Canis lupus familiaris: one gene and its partners. The protein of the gene in region 1 interacts with the protein of each later gene in a biochemical or structural test. Links are inferred from orthologs where the notes say so. Each region holds a gene or a part of one and is shown in the gene's direction. Other genes may lie near its edges. The genes, in order: MYOG, SRF and CSRP3.

Evidence for each region.
Region 2: the proteins of MYOG (region 1) and SRF form a complex in vitro, tested with the Homo sapiens proteins (2 studies listed by BioGRID and IntAct). The link is inferred for Canis lupus familiaris from reciprocal best matches to the Homo sapiens genes MYOG and SRF.
Region 3: the proteins of MYOG (region 1) and CSRP3 form a complex in vitro, tested with the Homo sapiens proteins (2 studies listed by BioGRID and IntAct, with this or other methods). The link is inferred for Canis lupus familiaris from reciprocal best matches to the Homo sapiens genes MYOG and CSRP3.

The regions. Positions count from the first base shown.
Region 1 is NC_049228.1:240,367-247,729, forward strand, and holds MYOG (myogenin), read left to right. Parts: upstream 1-2,683; 5' UTR 2,684-2,746; coding exon 2,747-3,217; intron 3,218-3,768; coding exon 3,769-3,850; intron 3,851-4,234; coding exon 4,235-4,356; 3' UTR 4,357-5,055; downstream 5,056-7,363. UniProt on the Homo sapiens protein: Acts as a transcriptional activator that promotes transcription of muscle-specific target genes and plays a role in muscle differentiation, cell cycle exit and muscle atrophy.
Region 2 is NC_049233.1:11,854,510-11,861,085, forward strand, and holds part of SRF (serum response factor), read left to right. Parts: intron 1-396; exon of another isoform or gene 397-489; intron 490-1,432; coding exon 1,433-1,699; intron 1,700-2,163; exon of another isoform or gene 2,164-2,315; intron 2,316-3,267; coding exon 3,268-3,529; intron 3,530-4,075; coding exon 4,076-4,195; intron 4,196-5,265; coding exon 5,266-5,457; intron 5,458-5,745; coding exon 5,746-5,822; intron 5,823-6,049; coding exon 6,050-6,145; 3' UTR 6,146-6,576. UniProt on the Homo sapiens protein: SRF is a transcription factor that binds to the serum response element (SRE), a short sequence of dyad symmetry located 300 bp to the 5' of the site of transcription initiation of some genes (such as FOS).
Region 3 is NC_049242.1:41,994,167-42,001,336, reverse strand, and holds the start of CSRP3 (cysteine and glycine-rich protein 3), read left to right. Parts: upstream 1-2,317; 5' UTR 2,318-2,476; intron 2,477-7,170. UniProt on the Homo sapiens protein: Positive regulator of myogenesis. Acts as a cofactor for myogenic bHLH transcription factors such as MYOD1, and probably MYOG and MYF6.

The DNA.
Region 1 (7,363 bases):
CCCAGCATGCGAATGGACCAAATGGAGTGGAGACGGAGCAGCCAGCGGGGCTGGAGCACAACCGGGCAAGGGCTTCCTCTGGAGGGAGCAGGACGGCTAGGGGAGGCTCAGGTCCGGCAGGGGCCCCGTGTGCCCAAGCCGGCAGGGGTGGGGATTAGGGCCCGACGCCCCGCTGTCAGGTTAGAGCTGATGGATCACGGCTGGTGGCGGAGCACAAAGGCTGTTCTGTGCTTGGCACCAATGTGTTCCCATCCATCAGAGGGCAGCCTGCGTGGGGCGGACGACTGTGCAGGGGAGGGAGGCCAAAGCCCTAGGCGCCCTGCGCTGCGCTGCGCTTCAGCCAGGAAAGAGGAACACGGCCGGTGGAGGAGCAAGCCCCCCACGAGGGCTTCGAGGTCAGGGATGCCCTCCCTCCTGGGAGGCTCCATGCCCCACAGCTGCGCCCGGATGCAGGCCTCGGGCCACTCACTCGGACAGAGATACACAAACACATGGACGGACGGGGATTTCATGAAACCCAGACACGTGAGATGGCCCCAGCCTCCCAGCCCTGCCCTCAGCTTTCTTTCGAAGCGAACATTACACACGCACGAGGCCACACTCACAGCCCGGCCTGATGGCAGGAGGACTGGACCCAACCCCAGGGACTGGCAGGGAGGGGCTCCTGGGAAACTGGGTCTACCCGGGAAGGAGGAGGCCGACAAATGCTTTCTCAGGGTTACGTCTGGGTTACGGTAGGGTGCCCTCGCATTACCGCGATGACAGTGAGTGTCTTCCCATCACGCTCCGCCGCTCGCCGCGCCACACCCCTGCCAGCTGACGTGCACCCTCCTGGCGGCGCCCAGCCTCCCGCTGACCGGGCTGCTCCGACCCTCGCCCCGGGATGAGGGCAGCGAGCTCTCTGTGCAGCGTCAAGCCCCGCCGAGCCCGGTGGGCCCCCTCCCACCTTCACAGACCCGTCGGGACCCCGGGCCGTCCAAACCCTCTCCCTGAGCCCCCGCCCCTCCGCTCCCTCCCCCGAAATCCCACCTGCTGTCCAGCCCGGCTGCCCGCTCCCCTGCAAGCCTCCGCCTTCCACAGAGACCCCGACTTCGGCAGTTATGACTTTCTCGACTGAAGCGCCCGGTTGGCGAGCCCACTCGTTTGTCATCGATCCCGGCCCCCATGCTTCCTGCTGCGTTAAAACAGCTCCCTCTTACACTGCGATTCACCATCCGCGTGTCGGAGTCCACGCTCGCCAACTAGAGAGTAAAGATCCTAGAAATCACAAGCCCAGCTTCCCTGCTTCCTTTTTTAGAGGGTGCGAACGCACCGCCGAGGGGCAAGGCAGATTGTATCCCAGAAGCACGAAACGATGCAATGTGTCCGTTTCCATAGTAACTTCAACATCCCTTCTTCTCTCGGGGCTCATAGGGATGGAGTGTAAACTGAGGCAAGGTTTTTCTTTTTCCCTTGCTTGGCGGGATGCGTGTTAGAAACAGCAATCCTCCTTCAGCCTAGCTGGCCAAAGTGTGGTTGGAACCCAGAGCCCCCGAGCGGCCGCCCTGGGAAGGCCAAGAACCCAGTGAAGACCTCCCCGATCCCCCTTCAACATGCATGGGGGTTTGCAGTGCCCAGTGGCAGCCCCGCCTCATCTCTGTTCCCTGCCCCAGACAGACGCCAGCCTTTTCCTGGCTCCTCACCATGGACCGTGAGCGGCAGGGAAGCCGGGTCCCTCGGGCTCCACTGGGTCCCACCTCCCCCGGGGGGTCGTCTCTGAGTCCCCAGCGCCATTCCTCCTCCCCGTACTGTCCTTACCCTGGTTGGAACTTCTAGCCTCAATCTCAGATGTCAAGTGGAGGGGGGATCAGACTTAGTTCAAGAGTTTCTAGGGAAAAGAGTGGGACCAAAGAATGAAGAAGGGGGCACATTGCCGCCCAAAACCCAAAAGGCCGCCCTGTGCCAGAGGGACAGACGGGGAAGACAAGGTTCACTCGGTGGGGAGGGGGCGGGGTAGCCTGTAAGTCCTGATGTTGCTTTGCCCCCCACCAGCCGCGTGGAAGGGAAGCCCCTAAGGTCCCCGCCCAAACACCGGGGAGTCCTTCCTGCCTCCACTTCCGCCCTCGCCGGAGACCTGAGGTTGTTAGATGTCCAGGCCGCTTTGGAAACCCACTTGCGTCTGCGGGTTCCCTCTAATCCCTGGACACCGAGCCCCCCGAGCCCCAAATCTGAAGCCCTCTCCTGCTGCTGACTGCTGGGGCCTGGGCCAGGGCTGTGCCCGCTGACTCCTCAGGCCCCCTCCAGCCGACCCCGTGCCCCTTGTGCCCTCCCCTTGCCCCCACCCCACTTCTCTGGGGCTGGCAGGGACGGGGCAGGCGGGCCGCCCAGCCCCGAGTAATTGAAAGGAGCAGATGAGAGGGGAGCGTGTGTCCTCCCCCACCTCCCCTGCCTCCTGGGGGCCGCAGAGAAATGAAAACTAATCGAATTACAGCAACGGCCTCCCTCCCGGTGCACAGGAGCCGCCCGGGCCGGGGCAGGCGGGCTGGCCGGGCGGGGGCTGGGGAGAGGGCAGGGGAATCACATCTAATCCACTGTAAACGTCTTGATGTGCAGCAACAGCTTAGGGGGGGCTCAGGTTTCTGCGGCATCGGCTATATTTATCTCTGGTTCCATGCCAGCGGGGAGGGTTTAAATGGCACCCAGCAGTTGGCGTGAGGGGCTGTAGGAGCTTGGGGGCCGGTGGCAGGAGCAGGTCCTTTCCGACCCCATGGAGCTCTATGAGACGTCCCCCTACTTCTACCAGGAGCCCCACTTCTATGACGGGGAGAGCTACCTGCCAGTCCACCTGCAGGCCTTCGAGCCGCCGGGCTACGAGCGGACTGAGCTCAGCCTGAGCCCCGAGGCCCGGGGGCCCCTCGAAGACAAGGGGTTGGGGACCCCCGAGCACTGCCTGGGCCAGTGCCTGCCGTGGGCGTGCAAGGTGTGTAAGAGGAAGTCGGTGTCGGTGGACCGGCGGCGCGCGGCCACGCTGAGGGAAAAGCGCAGGCTCAAGAAAGTGAACGAGGCCTTCGAGGCCCTGAAGAGGAGCACCCTGCTCAACCCCAACCAGCGGCTGCCCAAGGTGGAGATCCTGCGCAGCGCCATCCAGTACATCGAGCGCCTGCAGGCCCTGCTCAGCTCCCTCAACCAGGAGGAGCGGGACCTCCGCTACCGGGGCGGGGGCGGGCCCCAGCCGGGGGTGAGTGGCTGCTGGTCCCTCGCAGCTGCCCCGGGGGGGTGGGAGGCCGGTGCCCGCGCGGGGCCGGGGGGGGGGCGATGCTGCAGCAGGCGCCGGGGGGGCCTAGACACGGCGGGGGCCCCTCGGCAGAGCCGGGCTGCCCAGCTAACCCGTGTCCCTTTGTCCTTCAGGCCAAGCTGGGGGCGGCGGGGGGACCTGGAGGCGGGGGGGGGGGCGGGCGTCAGGAGGGAGGCGAGGGTGAGTCCGGAGCCGGCCTGGGTGGGGGCGAGGGTGAAGGGGGCGTGTGGCCCAGCGCCCCGCTTGCTGCAGCCGCGTCCCTCACCTCTGAGGCTCCGGAAAACCAGGGACCCCTTCGGCTGGGTGGCCTGGGAGGACAGGGCCACGGCCAGAGACGGGGGGCAGGAAAGGCCCGGAGGCAGGGGGCGTGTGGCCAGCGGGGGCACAGTCTCCGACGAGGCCCTGGGGCCCACCCCCCACCCCGCGGCGGCGACAGAGGGACGGAGGGACGCCAGCAGTGGCCGCGCTCTGACCTCGGGCTTCGCGTCCTGCAGGTGCCCAGTGACTGCAGCTCCCACAGTGCCTCCTGCAGCCCCGAGTGGGGCAGCACCCTGGAGTTCGGCCCCAGCCCCGGGGGTGAGTGAGCCCCGCACCCCTCAGCCCAGGCCTCTGCCTCACTTCCCGCCCCAGGCCTCTCCCTGCCGAGGCTGCCTCCCGAGGCCCAGGAGCCGGGGAGCCGGGGAGCAGGCCAGGCCTCCTGCCCCTCCGCGCCCGGCGGTCCCCAGGGTGCACAGGCGGCTCCACTCACACCAGCGGGGAGGTCACGGGCGGGGGAGGGGGGTTGGGTGCTCAGCAGGCACACGGACGTACACGCACACCCGCACCCCCTCCCTGCAGGCCCGGGAAAGGCAGGGCCTGGGGAGCAGGAGCCCCGGCTCCCACCCAGCCACCATCCTGGAGCACCCATGCCACTCCGAGGGCCCCGTCACCCCCGGGTAACACCCTCCCGTCTCCCCGCAGACCACTTGCTCGCCACCGACCCCTCGGACGCCCACAACCTGCACTCTCTCACGTCCATCGTGGACAGCATCACGGTGGAAGACGTCTCTGCGGCCTTTCCGGATGAAGCCATGCCCAACTGAGGGCGCCCGTGAGCGTCCCCCCCTACCCCCCGCTGGCCGCAGACGCCTTCCTAAGCCGGGCTGTCCTGATGCCAGAGAGCCAGCCCGGGGCTGCCAAGCGCCAGTCTCCCCCCCCCATCCATATAAGGCCAAGTCACCGTCCCCCCAGAGGGGTGGCCGCTCTCCCAGCTGACTCCTGAGGGCAAGGAGCAGCCTGTCTCCAGGGAGATAAGCAGGGACCAGAGGGCCCCTCGTGTGCCCCGTGTGTGCCCCAGGTCAGGGGCCAGACTCAGGAGCTCCCCTTTGTTCCTGATGCTCCACCTCCTCCCTCGATAGAGACTGCGAGAGGCGAGCTGGTCCTGACCAGGACGAGCTGTGCGCCTCCCGCGCTTGTCCCTCCCGATGCCAGCGGCTGGGCTGGGCCTGCCCTGCACTGGGAGACAAGGGAGGGGGACGATCCTGCTCCTGGGTCCCGGGGGGGTGGGGTGGGGCAAGCTTTGCAGTGAATCCTGGGAAACTTCCAGTGGTTTCATGTCTTGTGTTTGCGATGCTGCCATCTGACCAAGGTCTCCTGCGTACGAGTTGCCAGGGACAGGCAGGGAGGGGGGCAGGGGTCTTGGGTGATTTCCTTTCTTAACTAAGCATCGTGTGGTTTTGACATTGTTTTGTAATTTTTTTTGCTAACTTATTTGGATTTCTTTTTTAAAAAATGAATAAAGACTGGGTGCTAGGAGAGCGTCCTGTGTTGATGTCGGGGGGTGGTGCCCGCCAGCCCGGCCGTTCCCCTCGATGGTGTAGACACAGCCCCAGGGTGGGGAACTCCCAGGGCCTGCACCTGGTGGGGCTCTGAGAGCAGCTGAGGCAGCACTTTGCTGGTCCCACCAGCTGCTGGGAGCCCGGCTCCTTACAAAGGCCACTGGGTGTGGCCCACGGGGTGGGTGAAGGCCAGACCCATGGACGCCTCGAGACCTGGAGAAGGGCCCGGCCGGCACTGGGGGCCCCCCTGGTTCGTGGACACTAGACCGTAGACCGTGCACCGGGTATATGAGCTCCACCTTAAACCCCAGGACCCGTTCCCTTCCACCCATGGGCATGCCCTGTGCCCAGCTCTCATCCCACAGCCAGCTTGCAGAGTGATGGATGGGAATTTGTGGGTCTCCCGTCCCTCACCCCTGCCTCTCCTCTGGCCTGAGGGTCCAGGAGCCCTGCAGGGGGGAGGTGAATAGGTCGGTGTGATTGATTGGGGTCAGACGCCGTCACGTCCGTGCAGGCCACCCAGTCTTTCCTCTCTGCATCCTGCCAGGCCCCTGCCCACGGCTGGAGGATGGACGCGGTCATGGGTGCAGGGGCAGGGCCCCAAAGGACAGTCAAAGGGAGGGAGGCTGGGCTTGTGTTCATGCGCCGCTTCCTTCCAATGACTGGCCGAAGGGAGGAGGTGGGGGAGGGCGGGGAGTGAGAATACAAGCTGAGGCTGAATGGACTGCGCACGTCTATGAAAGTCTTACTAACTCCAACTGCTTTAGGCTGAATTTGTCTGATTTATTGCAAATTATAAGTTTGAGAATCATTAAGGAGTCTGGGGATCCAGAGCGTGACACGGTCCGGCCCCCACTCAATTCTTCGGGGCCCCCGATGGTGGACGGGAGCCAGTTTTACCTCCCGCCGGGCCCCCGAACCCGGGCCTCTGTGCGTCCATCAACCAGCCGGGCCCTGTGCGTCCATCTGCCCCATGGTGGGAGCTTCTCCTTGAGCTTGTGTCATTGGGTTTACAGTCCCCCGTCTTCTTGGAAGGACAGGAGGACACCCGCGTCCTGTGCACGATGGAGCACCCTGGCTCGCTGCCCTCGGAGCCGAGCAGAGCCGCGAGCTGGTGCAGATCACATTCACCCCCCAATGGCTGCTGCCAACACTGCATGTGCCACGGGCCCGGCTCCCCTCAAGCTCCCCTCCGCTGCCCTGGCATCTGCCCAGCTCCTGGGGGGATACGATCCCTCCACCTGCCGTGCCCTGGTTCTCACCGGAGGGCTCGGGGGAGCCCAGGACCCGCGTGTCCTCTCCACCACGCAGCTGATAGGCTCGGGAGCCTGGGCCTGCTTCTCCCGTTGATGGTTCTTGTTGCGTCAAGTGGAAACGAGGGCTCATACTCCTCCTCGGTAAGCGCGGGCCGTCCTCAGCGTGGCCCTCAGGTCCACGGTCCCCGACCATTGGCGGGGGAGGGAGGCGACTGTCTACCCATTTCTTCTTATTTCTCCTTTGGCCTTTAAGTCTGTAAGCGGCAAAATAAATAGATAAATAAATAAATAAATAAATAAATAAATTAATTAATTAATTAATTTTTTAAAAAGTCTGTAAGCCGCCCACCAGAGCGACAAGTTGCTGGCACCTCACAGGTGTGACCGGCAAATTGGCCACACGGAAGCCTACCCTCATTCATTGTTTGCACAGAATAAATTGTCACCAACGCCCTGGGCCTTTCCTAAAATGAACGCTTTAGGCTTCACAATTAAATTACAGGTACTAAGACTCCAATTAATGAATAATGAGCAGTTGTTCTTCAGGGAAATTAGCTTCAATCCGGTCTCCAAGGGAAGCGCCGGCGATTAAATCGAGCCAGGTTAACCCGGTGTTACCTGGTGCGGGACTTCAGGGAATCCGCTAGAACGAAAAGCGAGGAAGTCCAGTGTCGCGCGTGAACAGGACGCTCGTCCCGAGTGACGGCAGCGCACCTCCCAGGCCATTTTTTTCTTCGGCTTCTATTCGTTGCTTGTTTTTTTTTTTTTTTTATAAATTATTTTTTATCGGTGTTCAATTTGCCAACATATCGCATAACACCCAGTGCTCATCCCATCAAGTGCCTCCCGTCAGTGCCCGTCACCCAGTCACCTCCACCCCACCCCCGCCCACCTCCCCTTCCACCCCCCGCCCACCTCCCCTTCCACCCCCCCTAGTTCGATTCCCAGAGTTAGGGGTCTCTCATGTCCTGTCTCCTGACTTCTAAGCTCATCTATTGGACAAACGGGAAAATCTT
Region 2 (6,576 bases), on another chromosome or scaffold:
CCGGGGAAATGTGGGGAGAGGGGAGATGTCCGGAACGTCCAGAGAAGAGGGAAAGGCGCCGAGGTGGGAGTGACGGGCGCTAGAGAGGAAGAGGGCCCTTGCGGAGTGAAGGGGTGGAGAGTGGTGATGGGTGGTGGGTGGTGATGAGACGCGGGGGTCCCTAGACCCAGTGCTTTCTGGTGTTCGGGGGTGGGTGCCGGAAAAGCAGGGAGCCTACGGGAAGGTATGGAGGTGAAGAGGCTGGAGCTCTATAACAACAATGAGCCAGCTTGTGTAGGAGGAAGGTGGGCACCACAAGTATTGCTGGCTGGAAGGAGAGGCAGGGCTGATGACCAAATGGGGCTCAGGAGCCCCAGGTAAGGGAGCAGGGTGCAGGAGAACTGATGCTGCTCTGACCAGCAGGCACTGAGTCCCACGATGGCCATGTGTCTTCCTTCACATCCACTGGAAACCGGTGCACTCTGCAGGACAGCCTTCAGGACCATCTGCCTTTGGGACAAGTGGGATTTCCAGCCTTAGGGAGTGTCTGTGCATGGAGTTTTGGGGAAGGCAGGGAGGTTTGCAGAGGTACCTGGGAATTCTTCCTCTTCTAGCCAGCTATCTAGTGAAAAGGGGAGAGAGGAAAGGGAGGGGGAGGGATGGAAGCAGATGAACTGGGAAACAAGAAGCTAGAACCCTGGGGACATTGGCTGGTGTTTATTTTTGTCCCATATAGAAACCAGAGCTGCTTCCAAGGTGGGTTGTGGAACTTTTCTGGGAGTAAGGATGCCATCTGTGGGGCCACCTTTGTAGGTCCCTTCCCTGGGTTCATGGCAGGGTAGTAGCTGCTAACCTAGCTCCCATCTCCCATCACTCCAGACACTGTTGCATCAGGACAAGGAAAGAAAAAAGCTGGTAGCACAGTATGATAGGGCATGAGGACAAAATGGCAACAGGTTAGGACCTGTGCAGTTTCTGGGAAGAAACATGAGGACAGTTTAGCACTAATGTGACCCCTTATCCCTAATGTCTTACGGGACTTCCAGTGATATAGCAACTTCATTCTGTCTGGTTCCTATGACAGTGAAGAGTGGGTGGGTGGGAGCCCTCTCTGTGAGACTCCTGGCACCAAGCTGTATTCAGGAGCAGCTACCTGGGCCCTTCCGTTTCCTCTGAGATTATACATTCTGTCACTAGGGGTCTGTGTTTGCTTGGGGTATCTGCAGGTCAGTGGCTGCTTCTCAAAGGAGTAGCATGGGGTAGTTTCTCTGCTCTCCAACTCTCTTTCAGATATCTTGATAGATACCTCCCCCTGCCCCAGTCACTGGAGAGGAAGGTCTCTGGGTGGGGAGCAGAGGCTTGAGATCACTATGTATTTCCTCTCTTCCCTACTTCCCAAGGAAGGTAGAAAAAGTTTGGCTGATCTACCCATCTCCTTCCCCCTACTCCCCAGGCCTATGAGCTGTCCACGCTGACAGGGACACAGGTGCTGTTGCTGGTGGCCAGTGAAACAGGCCATGTGTATACCTTTGCCACCCGCAAACTGCAGCCCATGATCACCAGTGAGACTGGCAAGGCACTGATTCAGACCTGCCTCAACTCGCCAGACTCTCCACCCCGCTCAGACCCCACCACAGACCAGAGAATGAGTGCCACGGGCTTTGAAGAGACAGACCTCACCTACCAGGTGTCGGAGTCCGACAGCAGTGGGGAGACCAAGGTGTGTTTGGGTCGCCTATCTGAGGGGAAGGAAGGGGAGGGGCTTCACCGGCAGAGAGGGGAGGGGGTACCTCTCTCCCTCACTCAGGTTAGGTGCCCACTAATGTGGAACGGAGCCGGGTTAGTGCCCCTCATCCTAGGGGACAGGTGTCCATCCTCGCCATCCTGACAGGAGGCCGGCCCCCTAGATAAGCGGGCGGCCTCCGTGCCCTTATAAGGCCGGCTCCGGCTCCAGGCCGGCCTCCCGCCTGCAGCCCGCCCGCCTGGCAGGGCCCTTGCATTCCTCCCGCCAGCTGTCTCCCTGCTGGGGGCGGGGGCGTAGCTTAGCCCTGCCCTCGCAGCAGGCTGGGTTGCCAGGGAGTAGGAAGGAAGCACTCGTGGGCCCCAGGGTCCTGGGAACCCAGCACTGTCGGGAGGCGGGCTGGTTGACTGGGCTGGAGACTACCTAACTAGCCAGCCGCCTACCTCTTCAGGATGTCCGGGCCTGGGCACGTTTAGGGAGTGTATTCGCGGCTGCTAGGGATGCCGGCCCTAGTTACGCCTTCCCCTTCCTTTTCCCGGTAAGGAGAGGGGGCGGGGCTTCCTCCGTTGCTTCTCTAGGGAGCTCCACCTTCCGGGTGCCCCTTCACTAACTGGCCAATCGGAAGAAGCGGCACTGTTTGCCTTAGCAACGCCTTCACCAATCAGGGCCTTCGAACTCGGCTGCCTAGCAAACATCCCGCGCTGACCCACCCCCAGGATTTGAACCCCCTCAGTTCTCTGGGCTTGGTTCTCAGCTCGTGGCTTCCTCCTTCCCCTTCTAAGAACAAAGGCTCACCGAGGGAAGAGTCAGTGCTCCAGGTTTTCCCCCTCTTTCCGGCATATCATCTGTAGTTGCAAACTCTTTAAGCAGTAGGGCTCGTTTATTCTCAGGGAATTTTGCTGGAGGAATTAATTCCTTTGGTAGTTTAAATCTTAAGAATTTGACATGAGTGCTTAATTGCCAAACACCCAAGATCTCTCTGAAACCCTAAGTTCCCTGAAAAACTCTCGTCCGTCCGTATCTCAGAAACCTAGCAAGTCAGAGCTAGAAGGATGTTTTTAAAGAGGACATAGTAGCCTAGTCCCCTTCATTTCCCCCCCAGGAAAACTGAGGCTCAGAAAGAGGAAGTGATTTCCCCAGGATCACATAGATGGTCAGTACCAGAGCTGGGAATAGACCCCTGTGTCCTGATTCCGCAGCCAATGTGATTTTCATAGTCCATTGGGACACAGAATTCAGGAAATTATGATGATGACATCATCATCATCATAAGAGCAGCAAATACATATTACTTTTTTTTAGGTGTCAGGCACTTTATTTATATTCACCTATTTATCTTAAAAACACCTATGCGGTAAGTCTTCTTTTATGGACAGAAAATTGAAGCTCTGCAGCTCAGTAACTTGCCCGGGGTCAGACAGCAGGTAAATGGCAGAGCTGGGGTTTGAACCCAAGCACACTGGTTCCAGTCTGGGCTGTCAGTCACACAAAGCTGCAGGGGCAGAGTCTGGTAGAGGCTCACTGCTGTGTCTTTACTCTGGGTGTAGGACACACTGAAACAGGCGTTCACGGTCACCAACCTGCCGGGTACCACCTCCACCATCCAAACAGCACCCAGCACCTCTACCACCATGCAAGTCAGCAGCGGCCCCTCCTTCCCCATCACGAACTACCTGGCACCAGTGTCTGCTAGCGTCAGCCCCAGCGCTGTCAGCAGTGCCAACGGGACTGTGCTGAAGAGTACAGGCAGTGGCCCTGTCTCCTCTGGGGGCCTCATGCAGCTGCCTACCAGCTTTACCCTCATGCCTGGTGAGTCACAAGGGGCAGAATGAGCATGCCAAGAGTGGGTTTAGGGCTGGCACAAGGGGAACCTCTTTCCTTGCTCAGAAGGAGGGTGGACAGGGGCCAGCCAGAACCTGAGAGAAGCCACTTGGGTCCCACTGGGAGGCATGCCCTTCCCCACTGGGACCCCTACTGTCCTTGTCAATAAGTTTCAACCATACCCTCTGGCCTTGTCTAGCCAGCCTAGCCCTGTGTCCCCCTGCCACAGGGACAGTAGACATTCTACCACTTCCCTACCTTGATTGGAGGACAGGTCATGTTCTTGATGGTTCGGTGCCGGCTCCTATATCAACCAAGGAGGCAGAGGCAAGGCCTAGGGGTGGAAGGAGGTGGGAGGGGCCAGTGCAGAGTGCAGAAACCCAAGAAGACAAGATTCAGGACATGAAAAGCCTCTTTAGCCCCCAGGAAACTATGGGAGTTAGGGAGCAGCATGCCAGACCTTGGGCCTGGGGTGTTTGTGGGTGCCAATGGTGGCCGGGTGGGACAGCATGAGTAAGTCTCTGTGTCTTATAGGAGGGGCAGTGGCCCAGCAGGTCCCAGTGCAGGCCATTCAGGTGCACCAGGCCCCACAGCAAGCGTCTCCCTCTCGCGACAGCAGCACAGACCTCACGCAGACCTCCTCCAGCGGGACAGGTATAGCTTGAAGCTCTCTTCTCCCTGCCCTTCGTCCTTCATGAGGCCTAGGAGCAGGTGCCCAGCAATACCCCTCCCATAACTAAGGTCAGAGAATTTCTTAATGTGGAGATGGAGGCTTTTGGCTTAACCTTTATCTTAATCCTTATGGGAAAGTCAAGTGAGGATGGCTGGGTTTGGGATCCTGCCCTGCAGTAGGGCTTTGGATTTCAGGAAGAAATTAGGGACCATCGGAGCCACCCTTCTTCTCATTCAGATAAAAAGCTGGAGGCCCAGAAAGGAGAAGTTACTTCCCAAGGACACATGTTTGCTTAATTATCAGGAAAGATTTATAGAGCATTTGTCTCCTTGTGGGAGGGTATTCTAGGTTTTGAGTAGCTATAATTCTGCTCAGTGTCTCTAGTCATTTCAGAAATGATGAAACACTTTCAAAATTAAATTATTTTTAAGTTCTTGTTATTGACAACCTTGTTACACAAGATATGGTCTATGGACAGAGAAGTAGCATCACCTGGGAGCTTGATAGAAACGTAGACTCATAAGCTTTATCCCCAAACCTACTGAATCAGAATCTGCATTTTAATAAGATCCCAGGTGATCTTATGCATATTAACCTTTGATGTTGAAAAGATGAATTTGTTAGCCACACGTTTAGGAAGAGGGAGAAAAAAGAAAAAAGGAAGAGAGAGGAGCGGTGAGAAATAAAAAATGGGATAATGGAACCTCCTCAAAGGGGAGTATCTGAGTTTCCTTGGAGTGGGTCAGTCATTGCAATTCTTGTTTCTCCCAGGACCTTATGGTCTTGGAACGAAGAATTGGAGAGATAGACAGTTGAATAGTACAGTGTGATAGGATACAATTAAAGGTTGGTGCTCAAACAGAAGGTTGGTATTTAAACAAAAATAAGGCTTTTCTTAGCCGATGACAGGGATCAGAGGAACAAGTCTTATCAAGCTTCTGACCTGGGCAATGGCAGGAGGACTCCGGAGCCCTGGAGCTCCTGGAGGTGGGATGGGGGAGATCAGTAGGGACCGGTGTCAACCTCCCTAATGTGTGTCTGTGTTTGCCAGTGACATTGCCTGCCACCATCATGACGTCATCTGTGCCCACAACTGTGGGTGGCCACATGATGTACCCTAGTCCCCATGCGGTGATGTATGCACCCACCTCGGGCTTGGCTGACGGCAGCCTCACCGTGCTCAATGCCTTCCCCCAGGCGCCGTCCACCATGCAGGTGTCCCACAGCCAGGTCCAGGAGCAAGGTGAGTGGTGGGCTGGGGCTAAGGGGGACCATGTCCTCCTCCCTCACATACCCACATATCCAAATGGCCCCCCACATACACACATAGATATATACACTCATATACCCATACCCAAACAAGGATGCCCACACATAAAACTACACACACACACACACACACGGATGCTTGCACACACATTCCCACACCCATTGCTGTCCACTAGGATACTCATGCATTCCATTCCAACTAGTATCTGGAAGTTTCTCTTGAGCAAGCAGTTTGAGTATCTCCTGTGGTTTCCCAATGCAGGTGGTGTTCCCCAGGTGTTCCTGACAGCACCATCTGGGACAGTGCAGATCCCTGTTTCTGCAGTTCAGCTTCACCAGGTAGGTGTGGGGGCACCCTTCACCTCACCTCAGCCAACCCAGCCATTTCCTTCTCTTGACTTTGGGGATTTCATTTACCCATTGGTCTAAGCCAAGATTCCCTAAGCCAGGAGGCCCATCTGTTTTCCCAGTCAGGCTCGTGGTGGACAGGCAGGCCAGCAGGGGGAAGCTTGAGCTGGCTGGTCAGTTCCTGCCCTCCTTTTCCTTACACACCCCCTTCCCTCCAGATGGCTGTGATAGGGCAGCAGGCTGGGAGCAGCAGCAACCTCACCGAGTTACAGGTGGTGAACCTGGACGCCGCCCACAGCACCAAGAGTGACTGATCCGCCCTGCCACCCTGGACAGATGGCCCAAGGGATGGCACCACTTATTTATTGTTGCCTTTTCACGTTTTCTTTACACACACGTTGACGGGCCGCAGGAGGGAGGCAGGGAGGAGGAGTGGGCAGCCACAGGACTGAGCCCTCTCACTCCAGCCAAAGAAATGGGCCAGCCTGCCCTCCACCCCATCCTCCCTCCCCCTCCCCTCCTTCTGGCTCCACCTCCCATTTTCTGTTGATGGTGGGGCTGTCCTCCCTCCTCAGACTCCCCTAGCCAGCTTGGCTCCATGTTTGCCATGAGTATTAGCTTATCCAATGGGACCGTGCCCCACCTTCCCACACACAGGCCTCTGTGGGACTAGGCACCGTGTTCCCCCGAGGAAGCAGTGGGGGTCCTCTCCCAGCCTCCTTGCTGACCTGCTGTCAGCACCGTG
Region 3 (7,170 bases), on another chromosome or scaffold:
CAGGTGTCTAAGTACAAGGCCAATGTGAAGGGAGAGGGTGAGGTGGTGATAATGAGAGTGTGCTGAGGTTCTTATAAGTTTCCCATCTCATGGAAAAAACAGAATAGAGATACCAAATAAATCTAGATGTCAATAAAATATATATATTTATCGTGGCATTAGTTTTTTAAATTAGAGGGAGACTATCATTTCTAAATTATAAGAGAAAAACATGGCACAAAGAAAACTATTAAATTCAATAAAAGGCCAGAAGAAAGAAATATTATAAAAATAAAACATAAAATATGGGGCACCTGGGTGGCTCAGTCAGTTAAGCATCTGCCTTCGGCTAAGGTCATGATCCTAGGGTCCTGGGATTGAGTTCTGTGAACAGGCAGCCTGCTTCTCCCTCTCCTTCCCACCCATGCTCTCTCTTGCTATCTCTGTCTCTCTCAAATAAATAAATAAAATCTGAAAATAAAATAAAACATAAAATAAGATGAAGGGGATAAGTCTATATATATCCACAGTCACAATAAATGTGAATGGGCTAAAATCTCCTTTTAAAAGATGACTCAAATTAGGTAAAACTCAAAATACTGTCAGTTATTAACTCTAGGAAAAAGAGTGGGATTATTGGAAGGCACTTTTACATTTTACCCTAAATACATCCTTCTTGTTTAGTCTTTCACAGTAAAAATGCATTCCAGTGTTATTTATCTAATTAAAAAATATTTTATTTAAGGTCAGAAGTATTAGACTCAACCCCAGATTTTCTGGCTCTGTAAATAATTTGCAATATCCCTTTGAACAAGTGATATCCCTTCTTTGGACCTTAATATCTATATTTATAAAATGAAAGTGGTGGGCTACACCTGTGACTTTTAAACCTTGCCCAAAGAAGTATTTTATTTGTATTTGTTTATTTACTTATCTTATTTTTAAGTAATCTCTACACCCAATGTAGGTCTCAAACTCACAACTCCAAGATCAAGAATCTCATGCTCTACAGACTAAGCCAGCCAGGCATCCCACAAAGAAGTAGTTGAGAAGCCACTTTAGGGGATTCAGGAAAAGGCTAGGTGAATGTGACCCTGAGACCACCTACTTAATTCAAGCAGTGAAGTTTCTCTTTTATCTGCTTTATTATTGATGCTCCATTTAAGATTATCTATAGAAAAAAGGTATTATTCTTCTAAAAAAAAACCCAACCCACAAATGTTTGCAAGCTCCTCTCTTAGAAAACTTCTAAAGTCCCCTCTAACTTTAACATTCTAGAGCACTTGCCCTTTACCCATTTCTATGACAAATACTTTTGCAGGTAAATGTAGATCAAGGACATCCTATATGAGGTTGTGCTGTGTCCATATTTACGAAATTACCCCAACCTTCTTTACAGTGAAATATTCAATTACTCAACCAATTGCTTTTGTGGGCATGTAATGAAAGGCTAATATGGCTGCATTTCATAGACCTCTTGGTTGGGTACTACTTACACTTAACCTCAACATTCAGGTCAACGCGGGTGGTTAAGTGTCTTTGCTGGAGAGATGGATGACCTGAATTTCGATCCAGAACCTGCCAATCTGCCTGGAACCTGGCCCGAGCAAGGTAGGTGCCTCAGTTTCCTCGGTGGCAATATGAAAAATTGGTCTATGAAATCCCGAACTTCTTGTCACCTATCACATTCTATAATTCACATGTGTCCTTGATGTTTGATCAAAGCCAAAAATATGTACATATCAGGCAAAGGGAAATTAGGCCTCCAAAGAAAACATGGTTTCAGAGAGACTTATCAAGATTTGTCATAAATATGACATGCTGCCATGTTAAATTCTTAAGTAGAAAAAGAGGATGAACATAGTAATTCAAGACTTTTCTTCATAGGATGGCGGGCCATGAAGTGCCAGGACCCTGATGATTAGCTGACCTTTCTTTCCCCAAGTTTCTTTGAAGAGATTATCTAAGTATCATTTCAGACACCCATCACTCTTATTTTTAGCTCTGAGTTCTCTTCACGGGTGTTGTGACCTGTGTCTCAGAGTTCCAGAGGGCTCCCAGATATGGCTCATGATTCATTTGCAGGTAACTTGCATTGATTTCCAGGAAGGTCAGGGGAGTAGGAGCCTGGAAAAATGATTTTAGATGTAAAAATCCCTCTTCACTCTTGTTGGTGTTTCAACCACTTGATCAGAAGTTCATGCTCCACCAATCGATCCCCAAGGCCATGGGCAATTGGCAATTAAAACAGAACCCAAGCAATATCGTTCTCTCAGGGCCTCACAGCTGGCGTAGGGGGGAACAAAACTCAGGGCTTTGGTCACAGGCTATTTTCAGCCTCTGATAGCAGTTGTGTTACTCATGTCTCATTCACCCTCTCCCCTCGGCCTCCCTCCCGCCCTGCCCTCCACAGGCCAGTGCTGGGGACGGCCTCCATGTATTTAAAGAGGATGAGAGCCCCCGTACTCAGTTGAGCCGACAGAGACCACACAGGCAGGTACGTGGAGCGAAGCAGACATTGGGGTGGGGGGGCCGGGGTAGGCGTGGGAGGTGGGCTGGCTCGGTGGCCAGTTGGGACTCTGAAGGGTCCCATTGAGGAAGGGTGTGCGTCATGTCCCAGGTGCCAGTGGCCACTCTGGTTCTGTGTGAAGAGGCTCCAGTTGTGTGCGATTCTGGTGTGGACCTAGTTGCTTAAAAAACTCTTAAGGGTGGGATTCGCATTTGTGGGTTTGAGGGAACCTCACAGAGAAACGACTAAGGGATTATGTTGGACCTAAGACTATTCCCATGTTGGAGTGTTTCCCAAAGACGTGACACCAGTCCTAGAGCCACCACATAATGACTGGATGTGTGACTTCGGCAAACTTCCTGCCCTCGGGTCTCCTCTGGGAGGCTCAGGATGGAAGCCGGGATATATATTTTTTTCCAAACTATAAAGTACGGCACAGTTACAAAGAGGTTGTTAGAGATACGCTACAGCTGAAGCCAGCTTTCCCATGCTCAAAGCACAAGGAACTGTGCTCTCCAAAAGGTGTGGGTGAAGGACGGAGATTTCTGTAGTTCGCCACACGGTCTCGCACGTGGGAAATGCTCAGTGCAATTTGCTGGTTTAAAATAGATTTCAAAAAAAATAAATAAATAAAAATAAAATAAAATAGATTTCATATCCCAAGAATGTTCAGCAACAGGCTTGCTTCTAATAATTTAAAATTGATCAAAACCCTCAAAAAGGGACCCAAAAAAGACACAGTGACACTGAAAAATCCATTAAAAGCTCTCCTCAAGGGGAGGAAAATTCTCCGCGGAGGGTGAGGGGTGATTTCCAGAGTTTCCTCTGAGTTTTAGCCCAGCATTTGAATGACAGGCATGAGTGTGATGGAGAATGAGAAGTGGTTTTAAGCACTGGTCTGAGTGGAGATGCCGCCCCAAGATCAGAGCCGCCACCTCTAATTTCTGTTGCCGTCCCTGGGCCGGTGACATCCCCGAGGAGGAGCAGCTGGGTGACAGGCCTGAGGAACTCTGCCTCTCTGCAGCACAATTCAGCGCAACTGAGTGAGCGTGTGTTGACCATCGTCTGTGCTGGGGCTGCGGTGGGATGGGGGGCGAGGCAGCACTAATGCAGGGAAGGGGGAAACAGGGAGATCCCGTGTCCTCAGTTACTTTTGGGACCTAAATCTCAATGCTGCTTACATCCAACTCATTACAAAGTACATAAAATTGCTTTACTACCCAGAGAATGTAAAGGATTCCTTCTACCAGCTTTGGTTCCAGCTTCCGTTCCTTTCTGAACAAGTCAATCATTAGAATGAGCCCAAGTATTGGCAGGGAGTGGGGGGCCGGGGGTGCAGGGGAAGGGGAGACAGACAAGGAGGCAGAGATAGGGAGCAAGAGAAGGCAAGAGCGAGCAGGATCACTCAGCCAGCAAATAGCCAAAATCCTCTTGAAAGAGGTGGAGACAGAATCTTGAAAGAACACACACTCAGAAATCCTGGGGATCTGAAGAAGGAAATACAAGGAAAGGCATCTGTCATTGAGAAGGTTCAAAACCCCACTCTGGACGTCGCTGAACTTCTCTGAGCTTCCATTCTCTGAACAATGAAATGAGGCTAAGGCCCCCGTCCCAAAGGGATCTGTTAGCATCAGATGAGATAAAATATAGGAAGTACTCTGTGAAGCCACCTAAAAGTGTACCAGTGTGGGGGGCCTTCCAGAAAAGACCCCCGGGGCCCGGCCCTGCGGCCGGCGGGAGGGTTTCCTGCTAAGTACCAGTGTGATGAAGGAAGCCCAGAGGTCAGAGTGGATAACAAGGTGCCCAGGAGTTAGAAGGTGATTAAGTTGCTTCACAGGAGGAAAGACCGAGACAGGGAATCCAACACCGAGGAAACACAACTCCCGCGGCTGGCCGACTTCCAGTGATAGGCCTGCTGCTCAGACGTCTGGGAACACGGGAGCCAGGGTTGGGCCTCAGGCCTGAAGAGAAATGTGATGGCTTCAGGGGTGAAAAGCTGTAGTTATTCGTCACAGCGAAGGCAAAGCAGGAGGGGAGCAGGGACGGTCACGAGGGCCACCGGCTGTGAAGCCTTTTCTGAGCCTCAGCGTGCACCTCGTCGTGGGAAAGGATTGAGCGTGGTTTGTGGGTTGTTTACTGCCCTTGCAGGCGCGGAGCAGTAGTCACTTATTTGACTGCCACAAAAAGTCCTGTGAGGTCACTCTTCAGAGGAAGAAGCAAAAGTCCAAGGAAGCAAAGGAATTACCCAGGGTCACATGGTAGAGCCAGGTGATAAATCGGGGTGCAACATGGTCTTCAGAAACACGTTGCAAGGGCCAAAAGAGAACCAAGTAAAACTCGGCCACACTGTAGAGATAATTTCAGAAATGGTGTGATTTAATCCGTGTATCACAGCTATAGTGCAATGGGCAGGTGTCTCTACCCTGAGTCTTAAAGGGGGATGGGGTCAATACTCGGGCTTAGTACTGTGCTGGGAATAAGCAGCCTAGGCTTCCCGGACTTTGGGAAAGGGCCTCCAGATAGATAGGGGACTTCACACATCTGTTCAGAAGTTTAGGGCAAAGCCACTGACTGACCTTGAGTATCCTACATGGAGGAGCTGAAGGACATGGTCCCCCTGGGCCATGAGGACTCTGCTCAGGTTTGCTGCTTCCCTCCTCCGTCCCCATCGCCAGCGAGGTCAGCGGGTGTTAGGCACCAGGGCTGCCAAAGCGAGGAAGCAGCTGTCCTGGGGCACAGGCTTAGGACTTTGCCTGACATGTCACCTCTGGCCCCCACCCCCGGGGGAGCTCTCTCCCTGGCCTGGCTCCCTGCTGCCTCTGCTCCTCCGTGCAGCACACGCCAAAGACTGAGAAACAGAGTTGGTTCACCGTCTGAGCCAGGAGGGCCACAGAGAAGAAGCAAGGAAAGCTTTGCTTGTTTTAAGAAAATGGATTTAAAAGCTGAAGGTAAAATAATAATAGTAATAAGGAAAGCAACAAGATTATTAGACACCCTGCCATGTATTATGCATTTGTGTATACAGTGCCTTAGCTATTATGATTATCTTATCTAACCTGGAAACAACCTTTGAAGGCAGGCCTTCTCATCTGTCCTCCTGTGCATGAGGACAGGACGCGGGGCTCAGACATTTTGAGCATTTTGCCCAAGGTCCAAAAGAGCCTGGCCTGGTTCTTTCCATAGCCCGCACTGTTCCAGGATCCCACACTATCTCTTCTACCTGGATTAAGAGAGTAGAGAAAAGGCAGTGCTTGAGAGGGGATTGCCCCCGGAAAGCATTTCTGCAAGGTGAGGCTCCAGTCACTGTTCAGACACCGACATCTGTCTCCGGGCTCAAAGGATCCTTGAAGGGCCTTCACAACGTTGCAGTCACATGGACAACCATCCCCAGCTGAGCTCAAGTCAAGAGTGAAAGGGAACTCTCCAGCCTCAAAGGAGCTCTTTGCGTGTCTAAATGGCAATGATTCTTACAGAGGCTCTTATTTTACTGAATTAAATTCAGGCTCCCTGATACTCCCGCCCATGAGTACTCTCTGTCCCATGGAGAGACAACGGGGTCAGTCAGATCCCAGTTCTCATCAACTAGGAAGTTTGGCTAATGGAGGTGCTGACTCTCCTCCCCTCCCTGGCATGTTATAAATGGGGACGTGGAATACAGACCCAGCTTCACTTGGGTCTGAATTGCGGCTCTGCCACTTACTAGCTGTGTGATCTCAGGCAAGTCGCTCAAGTCCTCTGAGTCTCAGTTTTCTCATCTGCAAAATGGAGATGACAAGCTTTGCTCTGTGGGGCTGTTGTATTACAGATGGTACGTACAAAGCAACTAACACATAGTAAACCATAAATAGATAAATAGTACCTAATCTTAATATAAGAACACAGCTTTGGAGTCAAAGACCTAAAATCCAATCTAGCCACGTGAGCGTGGGCAACATAATTTCCCCAAGACTCCATTTCCCCAAAAGTTAACAAAAGGCAATGTTTGTGATAGTGCCTACCCTCAAGGTCTGTGAAGATGGAATGAGATAAAGCTCAGTGCCTGGCCCGAGGGACTCCACATGCTTCAGCTCCGATAATAACATTATTAGATTGGTAATGACTATACCTTGCATTCCAGATATATGCTGTTATGATACAAAATCTTGGCCTTGGCCAGTGTAGACAATTCAACTCGCTGTGTAGAAGCAGGCATCTAATAGGATGACCACACGAACCAACACTGAGTTGAAAATGGCATTGTCACTAATAGTCTCTGCACAACGTCTTGACGACCTAAGGTCAAGGCCACATTCTTTAATGAGCCCTACAAAGAAGAAACTGAGTCACTAAGTGCCCATTTTATCTCCCCCCACCCACTTTTGCCCTAAGGTGTCACCTCTCAGCTCCACAGTTGATAAGCAACAAAAAAAAACAGTGAGTGCTGGCATAGGAAGATGGTGGCAAGATGCACAGCACGGTTATTCTTTTAAAAGTTCAGATCGATATGTGACAGTTCATGGTTATTGCAGATCTGATTAGCTCTCACATTTTATAATACTCAACCGTTTACAAAGTGATTTGATGTACTTGAAGTGTTACAAGCCTCCCAGCTGTAGTGGAACAGATGAGACTCTTAAGCCCATTTTAGAGACTGTTTCCTGAAGTTCAGAGAGCTTTGCCGGTTTTCCCAGATCACACAGCTC